Linked DNA regions of Macaca fascicularis. The main gene of each other region encodes a partner of the protein of the gene in region 2 in a complex. Links are inferred from orthologs where the notes say so. Each region holds a gene or a part of one and is shown on either strand. Other genes may lie near its edges. The genes, in order: SMARCD1, SMARCC1, ACTL6B, PBRM1, DPF3, PHF10 and ARID1A.

Evidence for each region.
Region 1: SMARCC1 (region 2) and SMARCD1 share a complex: the UniProt entries of both Homo sapiens proteins name them as parts of the BAF complex. The link is inferred for Macaca fascicularis from reciprocal best matches to the Homo sapiens genes SMARCC1 and SMARCD1.
Region 3: SMARCC1 (region 2) and ACTL6B share a complex: the UniProt entries of both Homo sapiens proteins name them as parts of the BAF complex. The link is inferred for Macaca fascicularis from reciprocal best matches to the Homo sapiens genes SMARCC1 and ACTL6B.
Region 4: SMARCC1 (region 2) and PBRM1 share a complex: the UniProt entries of both Homo sapiens proteins name them as parts of the SWI/SNF-B (PBAF) chromatin remodeling complex. The link is inferred for Macaca fascicularis from reciprocal best matches to the Homo sapiens genes SMARCC1 and PBRM1.
Region 5: SMARCC1 (region 2) and DPF3 share a complex: the UniProt entries of both Homo sapiens proteins name them as parts of the BAF complex. The link is inferred for Macaca fascicularis from reciprocal best matches to the Homo sapiens genes SMARCC1 and DPF3.
Region 6: SMARCC1 (region 2) and PHF10 share a complex: the UniProt entries of both Homo sapiens proteins name them as parts of the neural progenitors-specific chromatin remodeling complex. The link is inferred for Macaca fascicularis from reciprocal best matches to the Homo sapiens genes SMARCC1 and PHF10.
Region 7: SMARCC1 (region 2) and ARID1A share a complex: the UniProt entries of both Homo sapiens proteins name them as parts of the neuron-specific chromatin remodeling complex. The link is inferred for Macaca fascicularis from reciprocal best matches to the Homo sapiens genes SMARCC1 and ARID1A.

What each region holds. Positions count from the first base shown.
Region 1 is NC_088385.1:56,929,158-56,932,095, forward strand, and holds the end of SMARCD1 (SWI/SNF-related matrix-associated actin-dependent regulator of chromatin subfamily D member 1), read left to right. Parts: intron 1-494; coding exon 495-596; intron 597-726; coding exon 727-780; 3' UTR 781-2,438; downstream 2,439-2,938. UniProt on the Homo sapiens protein: Involved in transcriptional activation and repression of select genes by chromatin remodeling (alteration of DNA-nucleosome topology).
Region 2 is NC_088376.1:110,609,231-110,612,730, forward strand, and holds part of SMARCC1 (SWI/SNF complex subunit SMARCC1), read right to left. Parts: intron 3,392-3,500; coding exon 3,270-3,391; intron 1,816-3,269; coding exon 1,744-1,815; intron 1-1,743. UniProt on the Homo sapiens protein: Involved in transcriptional activation and repression of select genes by chromatin remodeling (alteration of DNA-nucleosome topology).
Region 3 is NC_088377.1:49,244,255-49,248,304, forward strand, and holds the start of ACTL6B (actin-like protein 6B), read right to left. Parts: upstream 2,801-4,050; 5' UTR 2,719-2,800; coding exon 2,694-2,718; intron 2,264-2,693; coding exon 2,187-2,263; intron 2,155-2,186; exon of another isoform or gene 1,972-2,154; coding exon 1,806-1,971; intron 1,506-1,805; coding exon 1,405-1,505; intron 1-1,404. UniProt on the Homo sapiens protein: Involved in transcriptional activation and repression of select genes by chromatin remodeling (alteration of DNA-nucleosome topology).
Region 4 is NC_088376.1:115,644,765-115,648,264, reverse strand, and holds part of PBRM1 (protein polybromo-1), read left to right. Parts: intron 1-894; exon of another isoform or gene 895-992; intron 993-2,023; coding exon 2,024-2,094; intron 2,095-2,204; coding exon 2,205-2,421; intron 2,422-3,500. UniProt on the Homo sapiens protein: Involved in transcriptional activation and repression of select genes by chromatin remodeling (alteration of DNA-nucleosome topology). Required for the stability of the SWI/SNF chromatin remodeling complex SWI/SNF-B (PBAF).
Region 5 is NC_088381.1:140,763,275-140,767,433, reverse strand, and holds the start of DPF3 (zinc finger protein DPF3), read left to right. Parts: upstream 1-1,359; 5' UTR 1,360-1,372; coding exon 1,373-1,404; intron 1,405-1,410; exon of another isoform or gene 1,411-1,584; coding exon of another isoform or gene 1,585-1,993; intron 1,994-2,043; coding exon of another isoform or gene 2,044-2,117; exon of another isoform or gene 2,118-2,242; intron 2,243-4,159. Other genes in the region: uncharacterized protein, read left to right, coding at 1,585-1,993, 2,044-2,117. UniProt on the Homo sapiens protein: Belongs to the neuron-specific chromatin remodeling complex (nBAF complex).
Region 6 is NC_088378.1:1,322,202-1,325,701, reverse strand, and holds part of PHF10 (PHD finger protein 10), read right to left. Parts: intron 2,253-3,500; coding exon 2,099-2,252; intron 62-2,098; coding exon 1-61. UniProt on the Homo sapiens protein: Involved in transcription activity regulation by chromatin remodeling. Belongs to the neural progenitors-specific chromatin remodeling complex (npBAF complex) and is required for the proliferation of neural progenitors.
Region 7 is NC_088375.1:208,345,392-208,348,891, reverse strand, and holds part of ARID1A (AT-rich interactive domain-containing protein 1A), read left to right. Parts: intron 1-597; coding exon 598-765; intron 766-1,456; coding exon 1,457-1,769; intron 1,770-3,500. UniProt on the Homo sapiens protein: Involved in transcriptional activation and repression of select genes by chromatin remodeling (alteration of DNA-nucleosome topology).

The DNA.
Region 1 (2,938 bases), on a different chromosome or scaffold from region 2:
TCAGTTTGCTGAGGCTGCTGTAGCAAACTACCACAAACTACCACAAACTGGGCAGTTTTAAACAACAGGTTTGTCTCACAGTTGTGGAGGCTGGAAGTCCAAAATTAGTGTGGGCAGTGCTGCTTCCTTCCGTGAGCTGGGAGGGAGACTCTGTTCTGTGCATCGCTCAGCTTCTGGTACCGCAGGTGTTCCTTGGCTTGTAGGTGGTGGTCTCTGTGTGACTTAACGTCATCTTCCTTCTGTACGTGTCTGTCTCCGTGTCCAAATTTCCCCTCTTTATAAGGGAACCTACCAGTCATATTAGGGGGTACCCTAGTGACCTCATCTTAACTTGATCATCTGCAGAGACCCTATTTCCAAATAAGGTCATTCACAGGTACTAGGGGGTTAGACTTCAACATTTTGGGGGAGGATACAATTTATGCAATAATGGGTGTGAAGGAAGGAAACAAGCCTTTTCTCCTCTCTCTTCCCTCTCCCTGCATCTCCCTCAGACAATGACTGATGTGGTGGGTAACCCAGAGGAGGAGCGCCGAGCTGAGTTCTACTTCCAGCCCTGGGCTCAGGAGGCTGTGTGCCGATACTTCTACTCCAAGGTAAGTACATGGTGTGCATGGGGAAATTGATAAAAGGCACAGGGTTTTTACCCCTGATAGGGGTCAGTGGTGTTAGACACAAACTTCTGGTTTGTCTCATCTTCTACTCCCGTCACTATTTTCTCCTTAGGTGCAGCAGAGACGACAAGAATTAGAGCAAGCCCTGGGAATCCGGAATACATAGGGCGTCTCCCACAGCCCTGATTCGGCTGCACCAATTTTCGATTTGGGCCCTGTGCTGCCTGCCTCATAGCACCTGCCTTGGTCTTGCTTGGGGCGTTCCAGGGGATGCTGTTGGTTCAAGGACAACACCAGAATGAAGAGGGTCTCACATTTCTGTCTCATAAGACACCTGTTACCCTCTTCTTTCACCCCATCCCTTCCCACCCCCAGCTTCCCTTTGACCCACAAAGTTCCCATGTGCCTCTACCCTCCCCTGGTCTACATAGGACCTCTAGATAGTGTTAGAGAGAGAACCTGTAGTGGTAATGAGTGCTTGGAATGGATTGGGCCTAAGGCCAGGTGGTCTTCAAGGGGACCAGCTACACTGATCCTGCCCTTCAGAGACCCAGGAGTTGGGAGCTTTAGCTCCTTCTCCAAGACTCAGGCCTGGGGGCACTCTATAAGCTAGTTGATCTTGGCTCTCCTGATAACAGAATCCAATTTCCTTCCTTCCCTCCACAGGTTTGGAACAAACTCTCCCTTCACTTGTTGCCCCATAGCACTAAAGAAACCCTGGTTCTTGGGCTCCACTGAGCCCCAGGTCAGTCCCCAGCCCTCTGGATTGGCCTGCTCTCTCAGTGCTTCTCTCACTCCTTAGTGGGGGTCCACATCAGTATTGGAGTTTGTTCTTTAACTGTTGCTCTCTCCCAGACACTCCCTGTGGCTGCCCTTTGTAATTCCCTCAGATCTGCCCTAACCCCGGGCATTTGGGTGGGGAAATCTTGCCTTTCCCTTTCAGAGCCCCAGGGATCTCATCTGGGGAACTGTCATTGCCAGCAGAGGCTGTTCCTTCCTGCTGCTGTTTGGAGATGTCATTCATTCACTCCACCCTGCCTCCCCATCCCTTAATGGAGAAACAGGCCTAAAACCAAACGGGTAAAAAGCCCTGGGCCATCCCTGTCTTCCTGTCCCTTGTCTGCCCAGTTGACACCTACTGGTGACTTCTAGGGCACTGAGGAGTGAAAGCGCCTAGGGCTGGAGAATAGCGCTGAGTTGGGTTTGTGACTCTTCCCTCTCCCTGCCTCACAGGATTGTGACTCCCCAGCCCCTGCCCTCAAAGCTTCAGACCCCTCAGGTAGCAGCAGGACCTTGTGATCTTGGCCCCTTGGAACTGAGATGGTTTTTGCATCTTTCCAGGAGGGCCTCACATTCTTCTTCCAGGTTGTATTACCCCCGAGTTAGCGTATCCCAGGCTCGCAGACTCAACACAGCAAGGGTGGGAGACAGCTGGGCACAGAGGGGGAATTCCGTTCAGCATGGGCTCTAAACCCACAGAACTGACAAAGCCCCTGCTTCCCCACCCCCTCCTCAGGCTCCTGCGAGCACACCCCCACCCTCAAATCCCTGCCTGTTCTATACTGGGGACAGCAGAGTTTTCTCCCAATCTTCCCCTTCCTGCCACTTTCCCTCCCTTGAAAGGTTGACACTGGACAACCTTGGGGCAGCTGAGCCCTGGCCCGCCTCCTGGCTGGAACCATGAGAAGGAAGCTCAGTACTTCCATAGTGTCCCTGTTGATAACTGTTTTTATTAACTGAATTATGTTTTTTTCATGGACCAAAATTTTTTTTGTACTGTCCCCTTATTGATGTTACCCAGTTTTAATAAAAGAATCTTCTGAAGGATGGGTCCTCTTACCTACTGTGAGAGAGCTCTTCCCTGAGCTCTTCTTCCTTCAATACCATTAGCCATGCTCGTAGTGTTTGTTCATTTTATTTGACAAGTATTTATTGAGCACCTGCTGTGTGCTAGTTGTGATGCTAGACACTGGAGATAAAGTGGAAAATGAGATTTCTACTTTTGTGGACCTCAGGGTCTTACCTTAAGAGATTGGTGTCTGCCCCAGTGGTCCAAGCAGGCTAGTTGCTGGTTGGGATTATTGGGTTTCACCACTGGATCTTAAGAGCCCTTTCCCGACTTTCCTTGTTACAGGTCAGTGGCAGTCATCTTCCTCCTTGTCCATCTGAGCTCCCCAGAGCACCTGTTGGCTGGAGTGAGCCATAGATGCCCATGATCCCCTTTCGTTTGACAAACCTAAGCCTTTGGAGGAGTTTCACTTCTTCCCCCAGGGCTTCTGTCTAGATGTGGGCAGGAACTGGACAACCAAAGACATTTTTGCTTT
Region 2 (3,500 bases):
GGTCTGCTATCATCCCATCTATGGGTGAGGAAACAAACACTGAGTTGTTAGAGAATTTGTCCTAGCCACAGGGTTGGTAATTGATGGAGCCAGAATTCATCGCACCCAGTGTGGTGGCTCTTCAATCTATGCTCTCAACCTCTGTTGCCTATCACTTCTGTATTTCAAATGTGGCACGTGGATTTGGCTCTGAAAATAGCTATGTAACTTCTCGTGGCAGTTCTTTAAGGGAGATCATGGCTGGGCAATAAGTAGAATCCATGAGACCAAATCCAGAAAAGAACATACGAAAATGGAGAGAGAGACTGAGATTCTGTTACAGCAGATTCCAATGACTTCTGTCACAAAATACAGTACTTAATAACAAGAGTGTTAAGGACTCTGAGACCTAGCAACAGTTCTTGGCACACAAGAAAAACAAAACTCAGGCAGCCAAGATCATGCCACTGCACTCCAGCCCGTGTGACGGAATGACTTTGTCCCCCCGCCACAAAAAAAAAAAAAAAAAAAAAATCAACAGATTATACCCTGATTAATACATGGGAGCGTATCTACAGTACTGAAAGGTGTGTACTTATATATAGGGACAAGTGTTCCAGAAGTATATACTGATGAATCATCAGGGAAAGACAAAAAGTACTTTCTGCCAAACTTCTTCCTTCCAATAAGAGTTTCTCTATTTCCAATGCAAAAGCACAAAAATCCTTTATGTAATTAAGCTTAATTCACATGTAGCTATATCACCATGTCTCTCTTTTAATTAGCACTCATGCATCAGGAAGATAAAGATTCATTTTCTCCTGGATGAATAGAAACAATCCATAACATACATGCACACACAAGCTGAAAGTTGTTAGGACAGACCGGGCGTGGTGGCTCATGCCTATAATCCTAGCACTTTGAGAGGCCGAGGCAAGTGGATCACTTGAGGTCAGGAGTTCGAGACCAGTCTGGCCAACATGGTGAAACCCCATCTCTACTAAAAATACAAAAATTAGCCAGGTGTGGTGGTGCATGCCCGTAGTCCCAGCTACTTGGGAGGCTGAGGCAGGAGAATAGCTTGAACCCAGGAGGTGGTGGCTGAAGCAAGCCAAGATTGCAACATTGTACCCCAAGTCTGAGCGACAGAGTGAGACTCCATCTCAATAAAAAAAAAAAAAAAAAAAAAAGGGTAAGTTGTGAGGATAAGCCTGAATTCATTATAGTAAAAATTGGTTTAAAATCCAAACTTAAACTCCAAGAGCTGATGTCCATACAGTTCAAGGTTTAGAAATAAAAGAATACCCTAGGCAACATGGTGAAACCCCCATCTCTGCCAAAAAATAGATAGATAGATAGATAGATAGATAGACAGACAGACAGACAGACAGATAGATATCAGCCAGGTGTGGTGACATGTGCCTGTTCTCCCAGCTACTGAAGAGGCTGAGGTGGGAGGATCCTTTCAGTCCAGAAGGCAGAGATTGCTGTGAGCCAAGATCATGACACCGCACACCAGCCTGGGCAACAGAGTGAGACCCTGTCTCAAAAAAACACGAAAGAAAAACCCCCAAAAAACAGAAAACAAAACTAGATACAATTTCCTTTGTACCATGGAATGCTATACAAATGAGATATGAACACTGTTCTGAAAGGAGTATTTGCAAACTTCCAAGAATCAGCAATAAGAAACTCAGGTGGATGCTTGAAGAGGCCCTACCACACACAGGCAAATAAACAAGTTTTCTAAAACACTGGCCTCACATTTCTGGAGTCTTGGATTTGTTTTTTCCATTGAAGAACTCAGGAAGAGCACGCCGTTCAATCACATGAATACTGAAAAGAAGAAGAAAAAAAAAAAGGTTTAGGAGCCTTCTTTTTAAAAGAATAAAATCATTAAATATTCTAAGTAAAAGTGATAAATCCAAAACCTCAGTACCGCTTGCCAAAATTAATTGGCTTACACTAGTTTCTATGTATTAACAGCATACAAGAAAGTTAAGGAAAGCCTTCTCTTTCTTACTCCCAATACTTACTGTAGTTTTCCTATTCCCATAACCAAACTAAAAAACTACTATCGACACACTGAAAACTATACATTTTATTATTTTTTGACGTAATACATCATAACTAGATAAGAAGCCACAAGATACGAAGAATTCTTTGAAAAATGTTGACAATAACAAAGTAGCTGGCATGGCATGGCAACAAACTGATGAAACAAATGACCAGAATAGACAATAAATTTGCAAGTCTCAGCTTCTCAGGCTGTTAACATAAATGAGCCTTTGTCCAGCCCTCAGAAACACTGTGATAAATTACTTTTTAGTTTTTAGTTTTGGTGGAGGTGCTGGGGAGATAAATTAATTTTTTAAAATTTTCAGTATCAATTGCTTTTAATAATATCATAGAAGTACATTTTAACAATATATACAAATGCTAATAATTTTATGAAATGTTACAGGTCATAAGCAAAGATCAGGTAAAATGATCAGGCCTAACGGTATAAAAATGAACCAACTGTATATCTAGCAAAAAGTTTCTGCTGCTAATACAAGTGTCATCTTCCTGATGACATTTTAAGTTTCTCAGTGGCTTTCCAGATATGCAACATGTAAGTATTGGTTGCATGGCAAAGAGCAAATCGATGGTCTGGGAATATAACTCAAATTATTCACTCTTTGAGTATTTGGTAACATTTAAATTAAATTGGATTTGCACAGTAAAATACTATAAATACAATGAATTACCTGCAAACTTCTAGAAAAACAATTTCTAAGATGAATTAATGCTATATAAATATACATAATGACTTCTAAAAGAATAACCGTAAGGAACTAATTACATAATTCTAATATAACTCCCAATGTTTTCATTGTTACAGGTGAGGAAGAGCCCACTTTAAAAAAAATTCTGTTTATCTTTGGAATGTGTTTGTGTTTTTTTGTTTGTTTTGTTGTTGTTGAGACAGAGTCTTGCTCTGTCACCCTGGCTAGAGTGCAGTGATGTGATGTAAAGACATCCGTGAACCCGGGAGGGAGAGGCTGCAGTGAGCTGAGATCACACCACTGCACTCCAGCCAGGGTGACAGAGCAAGACTCTGTCTCAACAAAAAAACAAACAAAAAAAACCCATAAACACATTCCAAAGATAAAAATCACTTTCCATCTCCCTTCGTCAAAGGTGACAGTAATTTCTGACGAGGAACATGGGCAGAAAGGCACAACCTGATTTGAAGGAAAGTTCTTGTACTGCTCAGTACCATGCTCACAGATGAAGTGGTCACTCACCAGTTATAATCAAACCATGATGCATAACTAGGAATAATAATGTGATTAGTCTGCTCTGTCACATTATCTTCCCCAGGGTCAATTGATCGACTCTGATCACCTTTGGCAGGATCTTCATCTTCCTACAGAAAAGAAGACAAAGTGGAAAGAAAGAAAGAACTACAGATATCCATCCATCCATCCATCCATCCATCTATCTATCTATCTATCTATTGATACATATGTATCTAT
Region 3 (4,050 bases), on a different chromosome or scaffold from region 2:
AAAGATTCTCTTAAAATTATTTCTAACTTAAAAAGAGTGTAAATACTGAATATTGATTTCTTTCAAAGTCTAAAACACAACTGGGCTGGGTGCAGTGGATCCCACCTGTAATCCCAGCATTTTGGGTGGACGACGTGGGCGGATCGCTTGAGCCCAGGAATTCAAGACCAGCCTGGAAAACATGGTGAAACCCTGTCTCTACAAAAAATTTAAAAATCAGCTGGGCGTGGTGGCTCATGCCTGTAGTTCCAGCTACTCCGGAGGCTGAAATGAGAGGATCACTTGAGCCCAGGAGACCAAGGCTGCAGAATTGTGCCACTGCAATCCAACTTGGGTGATAAACTGAGCGGAGCCCCTGTTTTTGAGACAAAATCTCAAAAACAAATAACAAACAACAACAACAAAAACAACAACAACAAAACCCACTGTACTTAAAGGAGGGTAATAGAAATATGTTGTGGCATAGGCTGGGGAGGAAAAAAGAGCTAAGTGATCATTTTCTAGAGTGGAAAATTCATTGATAATATCTAAAACTAAAAACTCCACAGGCAGCAATTTAAGTGTAATATTAGAGATATGGAAGAAAATACCCCCAAAATTAGCTAAAAAGGAGAAAAACAGTTGCTTCTATAAAGAGGAATCTATAAGGATATGGGTAAGAACATTTTTAAAAATGCAGTTTAAAAATTTTTTTAATTGTTATTGTTTTGATAAAAGAGATGGGTCTTGCCATATTGCCCAGGGTGGTCTCGAACTCCTGGGCTCAAGTGATCCTCTCGCCTTGGCTTCCCAAAGTGCTGGGATTACAGGTGTGAGCCCACATCCCCAGCTCACCAATGTTGACCAAAATAATAATAAGTTAAAAGGTCTAAAAAGTACTTGGAGGCTGGGCATGGTGGCTCATGCCTGTAATCCCAACACTTTGGGAGACCAAGGCGGGTGGATCACCTGAGGTCAGGAGTTCGAGACCAGCCTGGCCAACATGGCAAAACCCCATTTCTACTAAAAATACAAAAAGTTAGCCAGGCATGATGGCAGGTGCCTGTAATCCTAGCTACTCGGGAGGCTGAGGCAGGAGAATCCCTTGAACTCGGGAGGCAGAGGCTGAGATCTCACCATTGCACTCCAGCCTGGGTGACAGAGTGAGACTCTGTGTCAAAAAAAAAAAAAATTTAAAAAGGACTTGGAGATGGAGAAGGGCAGCAGAGTAGATAGAACAAGAAGAGAGCAGGAGGGATGGAGACTTAGGAAGGAAGGAAAGTGGTTGGGATGGGTGAGGGGAGTCTGAAAAGGGAAGGGAAGTGGCTGACATCGGTGGCTTGAGGGGAGAGGAGGAGAGGTGGATGGTGGGAAGCAGGTGCAGTGGAGATTGGGGTTGGACATGGGAAGGCAGGAGGCACTCACCGGGGCCTCGGACATGAGCACGGGGTGCAAGTTTGGCTCAGACTTGACGTGTTTGCTGTAGGTATGATCCAGGATGGCTCGGAAGCACTCCCAGTCCTCGACTGGGGCCAGAAGAACAGAGTGGAGAAAGGCAAGAGGGCAGGCAGGGGTCAGGGACAGGAAGAAAAGGAGGGAGAAAGGCCAAGCCCAAAGGAGGGTCAGTGAGTCCAGGCCCAGGGGAACATCCCCCCTTCCCAGAAACCTGCTGGGCCCCTGGGAAGGGAACCCAGCGAGAAGAACCCTGGCAGCGAGAAGAACCCTGGGGCTGCAAGGAAGACTCCTTGGGGAGTGGGGGCTGCTATGTCCCAGCGTGGGGAGTGGGCTCCCTATCTGTCAGGAGGTGATGGGTGGGGGCCCCTTACTCATGCCATTCTTGAGGGGCGACATGACCTCCGCTCCATCCCGAGGCACGTGCAGGGCATTGGTGTCGATGTGGAAGATCTTCCCTTTCTTCTCTTTGTCCCCCTCCAGCTCCAGCCCGCCCCCCTCCTCCGCGGCCAGCAGCCCCACCGTGGTGGGGAAATCAGCCTGGTGGGGAAGGGTTGGGGGAGGATCGGCAGGAGAGGGGTCACCCTCTTGCCCCTGTCCAGCCCCACGGCAGGGTCCTCAGCCCGCCCCTGGGTTTATTCCCACATTCCCGCTCAGCAGAGCTTCTGGGCGATCTGGGAGAGCCCTGGGTCACTGGAAAGCCTGAAGAAGGGTCCGGAGCCCCTAGGATTTAGAGAGGAGACTGGAAGGCTCACCTTGGGACAGTCCTCCCCAGCGTACCCAGCGCGGACTGAGAAGGAGCCAATGTCAAAGACCAGCGCCCCCACCTCATCTGTGAGGGGAGACAGGCCTGTAAGGGGACCTCCCCCGAAGTTTTTCCCGCTAGGTAGTTCCGAGAGAAAGTCAGGGCAGAGCCACAGACTCGCCACCTTCAACACCAGTCTGGAGCCGGTGGGAACTGGGCCTGGAGTCTGAGGTCCTGGGACTGGGGGTGGGGGCATCATACCGCCAGGGTCCCTTCTTGCCCACTGGCCTTGCTCAGGCCACCCTCCCGACGGGAAAGGAAGGGGCCGGGGCCAGGTGGAGGTGGGTTGTAAGGTAGAGAGGTTCGGCCCGGTGCGCACGAGAACGGAGCGCAGGGGAGGCGGGAACCCGAGCCTGAGACTGGACCAGTTCATGCGCGGAGGTGACAGGCCCCGGGGTGCCCAGAGCTCGGATGGATGGCGCGGGTTCGGAACGCAGGGGGCCGGAGGCTCGCTCACCTCCGCCGTAGACGCCCCCGCTCATAGTGCCCTCTGCGCTGCTAGCGGCCCGTGGGCGGCGGCGGGATCAGCACCGAGGCGGCCGGACAGCTCCCGGGATCCCTGGCGGGGCGGGGCGCGCGGCGACCAATTGGGAGGCCGGATCCCCCGCCCCCAACGGCGCCGCCGATTGGCTGCCAGGCGAGACAATGACCGGACCGGGGGCCGCGGATTTAAAGGGGAAGATACCCTCCGTTAGGCGACCAGGAGGAGATGGGGCAGGGGGCGCCTAGCAGGGACTTAGAGACCGTCGCTAAGGAACGGGCGGCAGAGAGGAGAGCAGGGCAGAGGCGGAGACCAAGACTCTGCAGGACGACTGATGAGGTCCCTACCCCCTTGCTTTTTGTTTTTATTAAATTTTTTGGTGGAAACGGAGGTCTTCTTACGTTGCCCAGGCTGGTCTCGAACTCCAGAGCTCAAGCGATCCTCCTCAGCCTCCCAGATAGCAGGGATTACAGGCAGGTGCCAGCACACCTGGCAAATTAAAAAAATTTTTTTTATGGAGACAGGGTCTTGCTCAGGTTGATCTTGAACTCCTGGCCTCAAGCGATCCTCCCACCTCAGCCTCTCAAAGTGCTATGCCCGACCTCTACCCCCTTACTTTTTAAAGCAAGACTGGGGAGAGAGCTCCACTCCCCAGAAGGGTCATCTGTCTTCAGGCTGCTCTGAGCCCGGTTCTGCCACACCCAGGCCTAAATGGAATTGCCGGGAGAGGGAGGGAAGGGAAGATTAAGAGAGGGACCAGAGGGGGTGGGGGTGTGTCTCCATCTCTCTCTGTTTTTTTCTTTGTTTGTTGTTTTTTTTTTAGAGACTGGCTGGTCTTGAACTCCTGGCCTCAATGTCCCAAAGTGCTGGGATTAAAAGCATGAGCCACCGTGTCCAACTTCCCTCCTTTGTCTTTCGCTGGCCCCTCTTTTCCTTGCTTTGCTCCACCCCTACCCCCACCACCCCAGTACCTGGGCGTTATACATGTGTACACATGCTTACGCACATATACATACGTTCACACACAGCCCACCTGGCTTTAGCTTCTTTTCTCCATCTCTCTCTCTCTTCAGCGCCTATTTTCCTAAGGAGGCATTTATCAACAAGAGGGTTTTTGTTTCTTTTATTTTTGAATTGGGGTCTTCCGTCACCCAGGTTAGAGTGCAGTGGCACGCTCACAGGTCACCGTAACTTTGAACTCCTGGGTTCAAGTGATCCTCTCGCCTCAGCCTTCTGAGTAGCTGGGACTTACAGGTGCACACCACCACACCTGGTTTTTTTTGTTTGTTTGCTTGTTTTAGAGAAGGGCCCTCACTATGTTGCCCAGTCTGGT
Region 4 (3,500 bases), about 5.0 Mb from region 2:
CGGCCGAGACGGGCGGATCACGAGGTCAGGAGATCGAGACTATCCTGGCTAACACCGTGAAACCCCATCTCTACTAAAAAATACAAAAAAAAAAAAAAAAAAAAACTAGCCGGGCGAGATGGCGGGCGCCTGTAGTCCCAGCTACTCGGGAGGCTGAGGCAGGAGAATGGCGTAAACCCGGGAGGCGGAGCTTGCAGTGAGCTGAGATCCAGCCACTGCACTCCAGCCTGGGCGGCAGAGCGAGACTCCGTCTCAAAAAAAAAAGAATTGAGGAGGCATGACCGGACACTTTTTGAGGCTGAAGTGGGAGGATTGCTTTGAGCTCAGGAGTTCAAGATCAGTGGGCAACATGGTGAAACCCCGTATCTATTTTACTTAAATGAAAAAAAAAGAAGCAAGGAGTCAGGGAAGTCCCCCTATTAGTGCCTACGAATGCACATGTCTGAGCAGGCTTAGAGGAGCAGGGGATTCATTGAGCTCTTCTGGTGACTCAGCTCACATTCTCACCAGCTGCCCCGGCATGGCATTTGTCAATAGAGGAAGCAGAAGAGTTTGCTGATTTGTTTGTGCTGCCCTGCAAAGCAGTGATTTACACAGTTTAGGGAGCCACACCGTGTTGTGGAGTCTAAGGTGGGTGAGTGTCCCGGGCACAGGAGGTGATGGACACAGAAGTTAATAATATATTGCTGGAGCACCAGCTTACCCACCACAACCTCTTCATTCATTCACGAATAATCATCAGGATCCTACTTTGGTGATCCGGGTGGACATCTGGGTACTTGGAATATAAAACTCTCTGCTTTTTAAACAGAAGCTTTTTGACTTGTTATTTTCTAACAAATAAGAGGCTCTCTTACGCTTCCTGGAAGTGGCATTTAACAATTCTGAACCTTGGTGCTCGCTTCAGCAGCACATACACTAAAATTGGAACAATATGGAGAAGAGCATGGGGCAAGGATGACATGCAAATTCATGAAACAGTTCTGAACTTTAGAATGAGGAGCTGCTCCTGCCTGGACAGAATATCACGATTTTTAATCCAAAGGGACTATACACTATGAAGTTACCTCCTCTCGATTGTTCTACACAGCATTTGTTTAAGTTTTCAAGAACAGTTCACCACAGTTTTAGGTTTATTTATTTGTTTTTAATGAACTGGCTCCCTTGCCTATTTCTGTATTTTATCAGAATAGCAGAATGCACCCTGAAATCAAAAGAGCCTCTGACTCTAAATTTAGGACATCTCATTATTATCAGCTGTGCCTGTGAGACAACAATTGCTCGTGAGCATTCACTGAGGGAAGCTTACAAAATTACTATCAGGGACATAGTACAAATCTAGTAAGGCCATGAAGTCTTTCTGTTCCTTTGTCATTTTGCATATAAAGTGATAGCAACAAGGTTACTTCACTTCAGATGATTCCTTTTCAGAGTGCTACTCTATCAGATGGAAATGTTCTCTCTCTGCCAGCACTAGTGACTCCAGTTAGAACCAGCTCCTAATGGTCTGGGAGGAGATTGCAAGGCTCTGCCTTCAACCTTCACAAAGCTCATTTAACTATACACTTCCACAGCCTCTTCCCTTGTGTCCCTACTGTCCTAGCACATTGCCTACTGCTGAGCCTGATTCCAGTGCCATTTCTGCTGAAATTAAATACAGGCTTCAGTTGCAGGAGAATGTGTTGTCAGAAGAAATGTAGAGGTATATTCTTGAATGTAGAGGTATATTCTGACAATAGCTTACCTAGAGAAATACTAGAATTTTATGCAAGGTTCAAATCATTTCTAAGCCATAATTGATATACATCTGACAGATTGTTCTAGTATTATACTTTAAGTACCTAGAAACAAAACAACTTTCTCTTCAAATCCTGTTGGGGTGCTTAGGATTCCTAGCTACAAAGATTCAAGGGCAGAGGTACATAAGTTTGAATTATGAATGGCATAATTTCTTATCAGACAGTAGTTTTTCAGTCATTTCAACCCAGAGCCTCTAATTGTGCCATTGCATTCTGAATTATAGGTGTGATGAACCAAGGAGTGGCCCCTATGGTAGGGACTCCAGCACCAGGTGGAAGTCCATATGGACAACAGGTGAGCTTCCCAGTTTGATTTTCTAGGACTTGACAGAATTCGAGTTATCCTCCTTCTCAGAACATGTGCAGTCTCTTTCTGCCTCACCATGTGGTCCTGTACTCTTTCAGGTGGGAGTTTTGGGGCCTCCAGGGCAGCAAGCACCACCTCCATATCCCGGCCCACATCCAGCTGGACCCCCTGTCATACAGCAGCCAACAACACCCATGTTTGTAGCTCCCCCACCAAAGACCCAGCGGCTTCTTCACTCAGAGGCCTACCTGAAATATATTGAAGGACTCAGTGCTGAGTCCAACAGCATTAGCAAGTGGGATCAGACACTGGCAGGTAAGGAGATTCCTTCTAAATAAACCTTTGTGAAATACATGTTTCCTCAAAGCTGTCTCACTGCTGTTAGCATATTATATCATACAATAAACACCCCTTTTTGTTATACAATTAAAATAAATTATATATTTCATAAATGGTTTGGAGTTTCTTTGCGTGTTGACATAACACACTGAAAATGGTTTGTTTTGTTTTTGAGACGGGGTCTCGCTCTGTTGCCCTGGCTGGAGTGCAGTAGCACGGTCTTGGCTCACTGCAATCTCCACCTCCCAGGTTCAAGTGATTCTCCTGCCTCAGCTTCCCCAGTAGCTGGGATTACAAGCACGTGCCACCTCACCTGACTAATTTTTATATTTTTAGTAGAGGTGAGGTTTCACCATATCGGCCATGCTGATCTCAAACTCTTGACCTCAAGTGATCCACCCACCTCAGCCTCTCAAAGTGCTGGGATTACAGGCGTGAGGCACTGTGCCTGTCCTGAAAATGGTTTTTGGAATTTTTTGTTTGTTTGTTTTTATTTTTGAGACAGTCTCACTCTGTCACCCAGGCTGGAGTACACTGCTACAATTTCGGCTCACTGCAACCTCCGACCCCCAGGTTCAAGCGATTCTTGTGCGTTAGCCTCCTGAGCAGCTGGAATTACAAGTGCTCACCACCACACCCAGCTAATTTTTTTATTTTTAGTAGAGATGGGGTTTCACCATTTTGGCCAGGCTGGTCTTGAACTCCTGACCTCAGGTGATCCACTCACCTCAGCCTCCCAATGAGCTGGGATTATAGGCGTGAGTCATGGCGCCCTGCCTAAAAATGGGTTTTTTTGGCCAAATTTCAAAGCCTAGTTTTCTCATAAACATCACTGCCATCTTTTTAAGTATATTCTCTCTTTTTTTTTTTTTTTCCAGGCGTTTGGACGTTAGTATAGATGCATTGAGTAAATTAAAAATGATTGGCCAGGCACAGTGGCTCCCACTTTGGGAGGCTGAAGTGGACAGATCGATTGAGTTCATGAGTTTGAGACTAGCCTGGGCAACATGGCAAGACCCCGTCTCTACAAAAAAATTAAAAATTAGCCAGATGAG
Region 5 (4,159 bases), on a different chromosome or scaffold from region 2:
ACTCTTGAAATTCTGGAATGTTTATTTTATTTTATTCATTGTCTTGAGAGGAGCAAAAGGAAGCGAGAGGGCATAGCTTTGAACTGGCAATTTGGCAACTTCTCTCCCCTTGCCACCCCTCCCCCACTATCTTAGCTATTTGACCTGATTAAACAGCTTTGGAATGGTAGCCAGACTTCTGTATGCTAACGAGGCCCCTACCCTATTCTCGATTTAATGCGGTTTCATCCACGCAGAGCTTCCCGGTGCCCAGTGGAAGCCTGACTTCGCAGAAGTCTCCCAATTTTGTCAGGGGCTCGCCAGTGAAGAGTTCACACTGACTTGAAGCAGACACAGACTCTTTGGACGCCTCGGGTCACATCGGATTATTCACTAGCAAATTCTTTCCACCTTCTAAGTAGTGAAAGGTGACGTCAGAATCGCGTGTGCCACTCCTCTAAAGGGACTCTGACAACACCCAGTCCAGGCTCTACGACTTCTGCCTAGGCACTTGCTTCCTAGTAGTAGAAAGTTTCCAAAGGTTGCCTCAAGTCCTCCCTACCTCTAAGCCTAAAGGTCAGAGCTCCAGGTCGCACCACCGAGCAGGAATCTGAGCATTTTGGAAGTTTCTGGTGTAGGGAGCAGAACAGAAGGGGTGGTAGCGGCGGACCGCGCAGAGTAACCCCCCTGCACTACGTAAAGAAAGCCCTGGCTGCAGGAGGGAGTGAGCCTGACATTGAGGCATTCCAGGGGGAGGGTGAGTTGCTGTCCTGGAGTCGCCAGGAACAGCAGCGGCAGTTCCAAGAAGCGAGAGAGGAAGGTGGCGGAGATAAAGAGAACACTTCGGGAATAAGAATATTAAAAAGCAGCAGGACCCAGAGCATTAGCAAACGGCAAAGCACACGAAGTAATTTGTTACACGAAGCGGCAGCCTTCCAACTTTTGTACTGAAACACGGGGATTTACCCTTTGGGGGATTAAAAATGTTGATATGCAAAGCCAAAAGCTAATGAATAGGATTCAGTGGCTTGCTGGCAATATTGAAATATTTCTGTCCAGGAGCGCAAACTCTGCAGTTATTTAGAAAAGTAGGGAGTTGAACCAAACTATAATATTCTCCCGTGCGTCTCCACTTTCCCCAGCCCGAAAAGGAGCTGCCAACGCGGTACTTCCCCTTTAAGACCTGCTGGCTCTCGGGCTCTACAAAAGGGAGTGACCTCTGGGCTTTGACAGCTCCCCTAATAACTACCACCGAGCAGGCCCCGCCCACCTGGCGACCAGCCGCGCCGATTGGCCGGCGGGCCGGTATCCCGCGCTCTGATTGGCCTGTCGCTTCCCCTGAGCGAACCTTTAGAACTCTGAGACAGACAATATTCTGTTACATTGTAGCAAAATGGCGACTGTCATTCACAACCCCCTGAAAGCGTAAGTAAGACTAAAAAATGTACATATTCCGCGTGGTTTCAATATGAAAAAAAAGGCGCCTTCTGCGTGGCGAGCGCTGCCAGTGCTTGCGCTTGCAGGCGCCTCCAGCCGCGGCGGGGCTTCTCTCTTCTTTCAGCTCTTACTTCTTTTTTTTCCCCCAACGCGCAGAAATGTCAGGAGATGCAATTAACAAGAAGAAAATTGTTACATTTGTGTTCTGCTAAATTGCAGAGAGAGCGAGAGATAGGGGTTGCCGGCGGAGGAGCCCGGCGCTCGAGCGCTCTACAGCAGGGGGGTCGCGGGAGCTCGGGGACAGCGCGGTCCCTGGAGTCCCCCGCCTCGCGGGCAGGGAGCGAGGCTCCGGGGGCGGCCGGGCGGGGGGCGAGCGTCGGGCCGGGACTGCCTCGGTGCACTTGGCCGAGCCCTGCACCCCCAAGCCCGCGGCCCCCGCCCCGCCGCTGGGTCTGCTGGGTCCGGCGGACGCACCGCGGAGGCTCCGGAGTTTGCAGGGCGCTCTTCGCCTTCCGATCGCTCGCGGGGAGTTTGTGCAAACCTTCCGGAGTTGGGAGCACCGCGGGGGAAGCAGCGGGTCCCGGGCGCGCTGGGTCCCAGGTGGTCGCCCCGGGCTTTCCCCGGCAGCCCCCGGATCTCGGAGGCGCTCCGGGCGACCGCGCGTGTGTCTGCTCGTGTGTTTGCGAGCAACCTGGCTGTAGTGGATTAACGACTCGGGTTAACTTGGGGTGGATTTGGAGGCAGGGAAGCCGCAGGTCTTATGAATGGTGTTCTCGCCACCTCTGGGTGAGGCGCCGAGGCAGGCGGAGAGGCGGTTTTGGGGCTCCTGGCCCGAGGGGGCAGCGTCTGCTCCCGGCCGGGCGAGGGGCAGGTGCCTCTGGCCGCCCCGGGGAGACTTTGAGCGCTTGTCCAGATCCTGGACAGAGTGGGGCGGGCCGGACGAGCACTCGCGGGGGCCAGCCCCGGGTCCAACAGCCAATTTCTGCCTGCCTGCCTGCCTTCCTCCTCCTTTTCATCCTGGCTTCCTTCCTTCCTTCCTTCCAGTCGGTGGAACTGTTAAGCCGCCAAGTCCGCTCGCGATCGCGGAGCCAAGGGTGGCCTCGGAAAACTAGTGTCGCTCTGAAAGGGGTGCTATTGGGTGATGTCGGCAGAGGGTGGCTCCCTCCGTATTCGAGGTGGGCTGGGGGTCCGCACCCCTTCGACCGGGACTTCCCCGCCCGGACGAAGCCGCAGGCAAAGAGGGGGAGAGGGAGGTGCGGGCCGGGTAGGGGGCGGTTCGTGCCGAATTCTCCCTGGTGCGTGGCCACTGTCGACCCTGCTTCTTTTAATTCAGCGCATTCTCGTCTTCACCCCTCGCCACTCCTGGAGTTGAAAACCAGGTTCGCTCCCGGAGACGGTAGGGGGGTTCCTAACGCAAAGGAATGCACAGGGAGAATCAGACGTGTTTGCACCAGCTCGTCGCCCACCAGAAATAGGGAAACGGGTAGGAATGCCCCAGGTTTCAAAGATATTTATATGAAAGCTGCCGTTAAGAGGACGTTGGAAGCTGAGGCTGAGCAGATAGGAGCTCCCGGCTTCAGTTCTGCCTCGGAAGCTCGGATACACTGCACTTGAACGCCACAGCGTTTCATCCAAGAAAGAAAATGTTTTATGGCAGAATAAATGGGCGTAACTTCGCCGCATCCTCGCTGCCGGTTGCTTTCGCTGCAACACCGCTGATGCTGTCTCTACCGAACCCACAACTGATTTGCAGTTTCCCCATATCCAGCCGAAATCACATAACCAGGCTGATGCCACCTGGTAAACTCAAGTTAGAGAATCTATTTCACATGTGCACCAGGTTTGTTTCCTACTGGGAAAGCCGTACCCTAGTTACCCGGGAGCCCGCTTTCGCGCGGGCGGGCGCAGTATCTCTAAGCTTCAGTGTTCCCCTGCTCGCTCCAGGGTTTTTTTGGATCACAGTAGGGTGCGCGTTTGGGGAGGGAGTCTGTGTAGGGTGGGGTTAAGGGTGGGGGAAGGGACAGACGGGGGGGAAAGAAGGTGGCGGAATCCCGGCTGGTTAGGGGAATTAGTTCTGAATTGTACTTTGTATAATTAGAAACAGTTGCAATGTGATGTATTTGTAATTGTGCCGCCACACGCATGCACACACTAGCATACACACAACGCCCCTGCTTGCTTTTTCTAGGTGGGAGTTGAGTGGTCATTTATAATTAGCCATTCCTTTCTGCTTCCCAGACCCTTTCCCTGGGGGTAAAGGGGTGTAAACAATACCCCTGACCAGCCCAGCCTCTCACACCCTGGACAGTTTTTAACTCCTAATGCAGGAGCACACACGTTGTTATTGGGAGACGGACACCATCTGCCTTTTTTTTTTTTTTTAAACAACTTGTTTAATAAAACATCTTATATATTTCATTTGTTTTTAAAAGTTGCTGATCAGGAAACAATACAAACGTGAATAAATTATGCATGGGATAAATTAGAACAAAGTGCAGAGACACATCCAGCCGAAGGGATGGTGGTGGTGCAGGGAGGAGGGGTAGCGGAGAGAATGGTTTGGAGAGCTATGTTTTTATCCTCATGTGTCCCTCCTGACAATGAAACAGAGCTGAATGACATTAGCATTTTCTCTGTGTGCGTTCTGAGTCTCTCTCTTCCCTCCAAAAAAAAAAAAAAAAAAAAAAAAAAAAAAAAAAAAGCCAACACCACGGACGCCCCCTACAGAAAATGGTCACACAAA
Region 6 (3,500 bases), on a different chromosome or scaffold from region 2:
AAGAGTCCTCCTGGCTGTCAGGAGCGCTTTCTCCTTCAGATACATTGCCAGAGGAGCTGTCCTGGAGTTTAAAAGGCAAAAACAAAGATTCTTTGGAATTGAGTCTGGATTTTGAAAACTATGGAAAATACTCAAAAAAAGTTTTAAAGCCTTATCAATTTAAAAATAAAAAGATCATTCTAAATGTAAGAAAGTTTTTTCCAGTGGAGACTAAAGTAACTTATGTTAAAAATCATTCATCTTTCTTCTAAGTATGATATGGTATAAAACTGATTGCATTCATATCAGTGCCTTCATCAACTTTGTTTTCTGACCTAAGTCACAAAAATGCAATTATCCGCTTCAGCTACTATTATACGGCACACAGCTTCAACATCATTTTCCATGTCACAAGGGAACATATTTGTTTCACACAAAAATATATTGTTACAAATAAGTGTGGGTATTTTCACTGAGTACTAAAAGTCATTAAGAAGGTCCTTCAGGAAAAATGAAGTGCTGCAGTTAAAAAAAAAAAAAAAAAAAAATTCCTTCGAGTACACATTTGTGTTTTCATAATGTTAAACCATGCAGAGCCAATCCCTCAACTATCTACAACAGGATGTGAAAGATTGCATATACTCAAGGTTTAAGACCTCAATATCTAATGATTTAATTCTTCATTTTATAATTTTAAATTTTCTAATTAGAACTTTCATATAAATTATGAAAATTATAAATGAAAAAATTAGATTATCTAGAGCCTCCCTGATAAACACACACTGACTAGAAACATGAATATATCCACTTCATCTTTTTTCTGGGTGTCCACTTATATACATAAAGATACCGAGACTCACACATACCCCCTAACCTCATTGTGCCCTCATTTTTTAAAACACAAAACTGGATTACACTGCGTATGTATGCATGTGTGTGTTTTGGTATTTTTTTAAAAGCATTATGTGCATGTTCTCACAATCATTAAATATTCTTTGAACTGCATTTCTATCCTATAAATGTAATATAATATTACCCACTGTGGGCATTAAAATTTATTTGTAACTTCCAGGATAAAAAATACTGTAAACACTCAAACAGACCTTTTTATTCTAATTAAATTTTTTTCAGCATCTGATTAAATCCTTAGGATAAATTCTACTAGTGGATTTGCGAGGTCAAATTCTGTGGAACTTAAATTGGTAAGACTGTCAAAACGCTTTCCCATAATGTTGGATTAGTTTCCACTTTTCCTAGCAGTATGAAAGGAAGTCAGCTTCATCCCCCTTTGCATGCCATAGCTCCCCTTTTAGCAACATAACAGGAGAAAAGTTGTATCACCACTTTAATACTTGAACAGCATCTTATTTTGCATAATATGTATTATTAAAGATGTTTTAGAAGCTGCTGGGGACAAGGAAATAATGTCCATTCAATGGTAGCACAACCTCACATTTAGATTGGCTTCAATGAAAAGTCTGAAATAGCCAGTTACTTAAAACACAATGCTAAAGAAATTCAAAGCCCTATGTCATCACTGTGATCAAAGCCCTAAACCATCAAGGGGATTCTGTTCTCCTTCAGATCCACAGAATTCACCAGCTGCCCATTGTTTTGCAAGCGCATTTTGCTACAAAAAAAGAGTCATACAGGAAAACCCAACAAATTGCAAAACATATTACTAAACACAATATTTTCCTATAGGAAGCCTAAGATTAAGCAAAAGAAACCTAAGTTAATGCACTCCCCTAAACTAAGAAAACTACATTTCTGTGTCAAGAGATCAAATTCTGTTTTGTTCAATATTTTAAGCTAAAGAGACAACAAGTTGAATAAATGACTGTAAGCTAATTTTCCAATATCCTTGCCTAAATCGCTCATGGTAACTACAAAGGGGCGATTTTAAGTATAAATCTTACCAAAGGCCACACACGGCTTGTTTTTTATCAAAACATACTATAAATAACTTTTCTTGATGAATACCTTCTGGAAATTACATGCAACCATCCTTTTTCAAAGAGAGGGTGATGACAGAAGTTCAATGTAACATTCCAGGAAAGCAATTAGCAAAAATTCAAAGAGAAAGGAAACGCTTCCCACTAGAGAGAAATGTTCTCACCGAAGTGCCTTTATTTTTCCGTTTCTCGTCACCTCGACCATCTTCGCCATCATCTGAATCACCGTCACTGTCTAGAGCAGGGAGCTCAGGATCCAGAGGGGGCTCATATAGGGCTGTGTTTAATGGCAGATACCGCAGCTCATCTGGTGAGTACCTGAAGTTCAGAGCGTTTATTTTTGGTTTCCCTTTATTATTAAATATAAATAGACTCATCGTTGACCTATGAAGAGAGCCTTAAACTTCTTGAGTAACTCCAAAGACTTCCGAAAAATAGAGTATTAATTTTTAATTTTTGTCATCAAGTAGGGTTAATAAAAAGCCTGAACATCTTTTCACTAGACTTATGTAAAATATGCATTTGATTCTAAAAGATAATGCGCCTCTCCTCTTTGCCCTCAACCCAAAAAAACAAAACAGTAAATAAAATGTCAGTAGCCCCAAGTCTGACTGCCAGCTCACATCCACGTCCACCACTGTTCCAGGTCTTTGCTACTTCTCTGTGCTATCACTCCACTTGTAAAACAGGCCTAATAATAGCATCTACCTCATACACCAGTGCATGGTACATGATATTACTTAATATTAATATAGAAAGCAAAATTTTTAGTAACAAATTATTGTAAACAAATTTGGGAAGCATGTATTCTAAAAAATCTAATCAACTATTTTTTCTGAAACTAGATTGGCAATCTCTTCCCCTAGGTCAGACAGCAATGCTTTGTGCCACCTCCATTCTCACCCTCAGTAGTCCTCATTCAGGAAGCGACCCTGGATCAGGACTTCTCCAACTAAGACAACACACCAAAAAGCAAAGGAGTTGGTATACTTGCATATGACTTTTAATAATTTGCTGACACCAGAGTAAAATTTTTAAAAATTTAAGGCCGAGTGCAGTGGCTCACGCCTGTAATCTCAGCACTGCGGGAGGTCAAGGTGGGCAGATCACCAGAGGTCAGGAGTTCGAGACCAGCTGGCCAACAGAGTGAAAATCTGTCTCTACTAAAAATACAAAAAATTAGCCGGGCGAGGTGGTAAGTACCTATAATCCCAGCTACTTGGGCGGTTGAAGCAGGAGAATCACTTGAACCCGGGAGGTGGAGGTTGCAGTGAGCCGAGATCGTGCCACTGAACTCCAGCCTGGGTGACAGCATGAGACTCCATCTCAAAAAAAAAAAAAAAATTGAAGAAAAACTTTTAAAAAAACTGCTGCCCATGATTTAAATTTGAATTAAAAAACCTTTTTAATTTAAAAAATTTCTGCCCAAGATGTGACTTTCAAATGGTGTGAGTTATGATACTATACTTTAAATTCTATTCTCTAAAAAAATAGTCTATTATGAAAAACATACGGTTCCAGAGTAAGGCTTAAGGTTGAAGTAAAAGCTGAGACTTTAAAACAAAA
Region 7 (3,500 bases), on a different chromosome or scaffold from region 2:
TTGACCATGAAGCTTAGGACAATCCCTGCAGCAAATTGTTTTTATATTCTTTAAAAGTTGACATGATAATTGTACTTATTTATGGGGAACATAGTGATGTTTCAATAGATATAACGTATAGTGATCAGATCAGGGTAATTAGCAGATATATAATCTCAAACACTTACTACTTCTTTGTGCTGAGACCCAGCAGCAAATTGTGAAGTTAGAGTGGGCTTGGCCATGTTAGTGTCTCCATTTCTCAGTACTTATCTCTGTTTTGATGGTTGCCCTCTTACATTTTGCCTCATGTGGTCGGCAGTTGCTGAAGACTCAACATTTGGTCTTTACTCATTAAGTCATTCATTTTGGTTTTTGTCATTCCTTTTTGTCTTTTCAAACCTCCATTTAGCAGAAACAGTTGGCATGCCCTGGTTAATGGCTTATGTCACTCTGAAGGTGCCTAAAATGACACACCACTATATAGAAAATCAGATAGAGACTCCATGCAAGTAGCTGCTAAAGAAAATGTAGATGGTAAAGTCCCAGGATAAGGAGGGAGAGCATTTGTTCGCATTGTATAAAGCTAATAACTATATGGATACTACCCACAAATAGGTTATATGCAGAGGAACCCCCAGATGCCCCAGTACAGTTCCCCCCAGCCCGGCTCAGCCTTATCTCCGCGTCAGCCTTCCGGAGGACAGATACACACAGGCATGGGCTCCTACCAGCAGAACTCCATGGGGAGCTATGGTCCCCAGGGGGGTCAGTATGGCCCACAAGGTCAGTATACTACCCAGTTAGGAGTAGATAGGGGTGAGAGGAGAAAACAGTTCCTTGTCTGATATGTTGCCATCTAGCTTGTAACCTTGTGAGAGAAGGGCTGTCCTTTGCCTTAAATCCACCCAGGCCAGGCCCTTGAAGAAGGGCAAGGAAAGATTCCATTTGTCTCCACTTACTCCGTCACCATGAGAAAGTCTTTCAATTTCACTGAGCCTCTGTTTCATTTGTAAAAATGGAGATAAGGTGTTTACTCCACCATTGAGCACAGACAATTAATACATGGTAGCTATTGGTTATTACTTTTTTAAAATTATTTTTAGTGAATAAGTCATAATGGAATAGATCTTTGCTCAAAATTACAGCCCTAGGCAGATCAAAAGTTGAGTATCTTACACAGAGCATGGAGATAGAAAGGAAGTTATCTTCTTCTGGAAGTTGAAGTGCCTGTGTGGCAGCAAAGCCAGCCTTGCTCTGTGCTGCCTTTAAGATGGAGGGGATAACTGACCTGCCTTTACATGCTTCTGGCACCCCCCCACTTTTTCTCATGGAGATAAAGGCTACCATGAAGTTGGTCTCTTTCCTAACCAAAATATTGAATGACATTGTTTGGTGTTCTAGAGTTGAGAGATATTAGTGAGTTGCTAGTGTGAGTCACTAACCAAGTCTCTGTCTTCTCTTCCTCCCCTCTCAGGTGGCTACCCCAGGCAGCCAAACTATAATGCCTTGCCCAATGCCAACTACCCCAGTGCAGGCATGGCTGGAGGCATAAACCCCATGGGTGCCGGAGGTCAGATGCATGGACAGCCTGGCATCCCACCTTACGGCACACTCCCTCCAGGGAGGATGAGTCACGCCTCCATGGGCAACCGGCCTTATGGCCCTAACATGGCCAATATGCCACCTCAGGTTGGGTCAGGGATGTGTCCCCCACCAGGGGGCATGAACCGGAAAACCCAAGAAACTGCTGTCGCCATGCATGTTGCTGCCAACTCTATCCAAAACAGGTAAGGCCTGGGAAGTGGAGAGGGTATCAGTTCTAGAAAATGTATTGTAGACCCACTCAGATTATTGAGATGCTTCTGGACCTAAATCGGGGGGGAAAATGGGTGTGTGTATGAAGTGTTAATTCTTACATGTCTTAGATGGGTCTGAAATTTCACATGACTAAACATCATATGTAAAGAACTTTATAAAAAACAGGGTTGGCCGGGCGCGGTGGCTCAAGCCTGTAATCCCAGCACTTTGGGAGGCCGAGACGGGCGGATCACTAGGTCAGGAGATCGAGACCATCCTGGCTAACAGGGTGAAACCCCGTCTCTACTAAAAAATACAAAAAGCTAGCCGGGCGAGGTGGCGGGCGCCTGTAGTCCCAGCTACTCGGGAGGCTGAGGCAGGAGAATGGCGTAAACCCGGGAGGCGGAGCTTGCAGTGAGCTGAGATCCGGCCACTGCACTCCAGCCCGGGGACAGAATGAGACTCCGTCTCAAAAAAAAAAAAAACAGGGTTTTGGCTGGGCGTGGTTGAGTGGGACTACAGACACACACCACCACACACGGCTAATTTATTTTTTATTTATTTATTTTTTTTTATTTATTTACTTATTTTGAGACAGAGTCTCACTCCATTGCCCAAGCTGGAGTGCAGTAATGTACTTTCAGCTCACTGCAACCTCTGCTTCCCAGGTTCAAGCGATTCTCCTGCCTCAGCCTCCCGAGTAGCTGGGATTACAGGCACCCGCCACCATGCCCTGTTAATTTCTATATTTTTAGTAGATACTGGGTTTCACCATGTTAGCCAGGCTGGTCTCGAACTCCTGACCTCAAGCGAGCTGCCTGCCTTGGCCTCCCAAAGTGCTAGGCATGATCCACCATGCCTAGACTTTTTTTTTTTTTTTTTTTTTTTTAAATAGATACGGAGTCTCACTATGTTGCCAGGGCTAAAGACAGCTTATTTTGATTTGCAAAATAAGTGTTCAGAGTAGGTGGTTTAACTTCTATCAGTCAACATTTTGGTTTCCAAAAGGATTCTTAATGATACATATGTCTTGGATCTTTGGTGTTAGAAATAGCAAATGGTAAGCTTGTGGTTTGCCATTTCTCTTACTGTTTTATGTGGTCCTGTGTGTTGACTCTGGTGCTAGAGTGCAGAAGGCTCACGTGATTAGGTTTAACGACTTCTTTGGCCACTAAATCTTATTGAGTTGTTGATGAACCAAGGTAAAATAGGGTGATTGACTATAAAGAGCTGGATTTGGTAGAACTTCAGAAAGATGGAAGTGCAAAGTTTGCATTAGCCCATCAAGAAATAATGCAAAGCCACCTCTGGGTGATATGCTGAGGGTTCCAGTCTGGAATTTAGCATGACAAAAAGTGGTACAGTTCAGCATTTCATCTATGTCTTTTGCCACAGACAGGGCCCTTAAATGGAAATACAACTTGACTTTGGAGGTGGCTTTGAGGGAGGCAGTACTTAAAAGACACAGCAGGGCTCTGCTTCAAAGAATTGTACCCTTTGAAATTCAGCTATTGTGGCTGGGTGCGGTGGCTCACTCCTGTTATCCTAGCACTTTGGGATACCGAGGCAGGTGGATGACCTGAGGTCAGGAGTTCAAGACCAGCCTGCCCAGCATGGCGAAACCCCATCTCTACTAAAAATACAAAAAATTAGCCAGGCATGGTGGTGGGCACCTGTAATCCCAGCTACTTGGGAGGCTGAGGCAGGAGAATCGCTTGAAC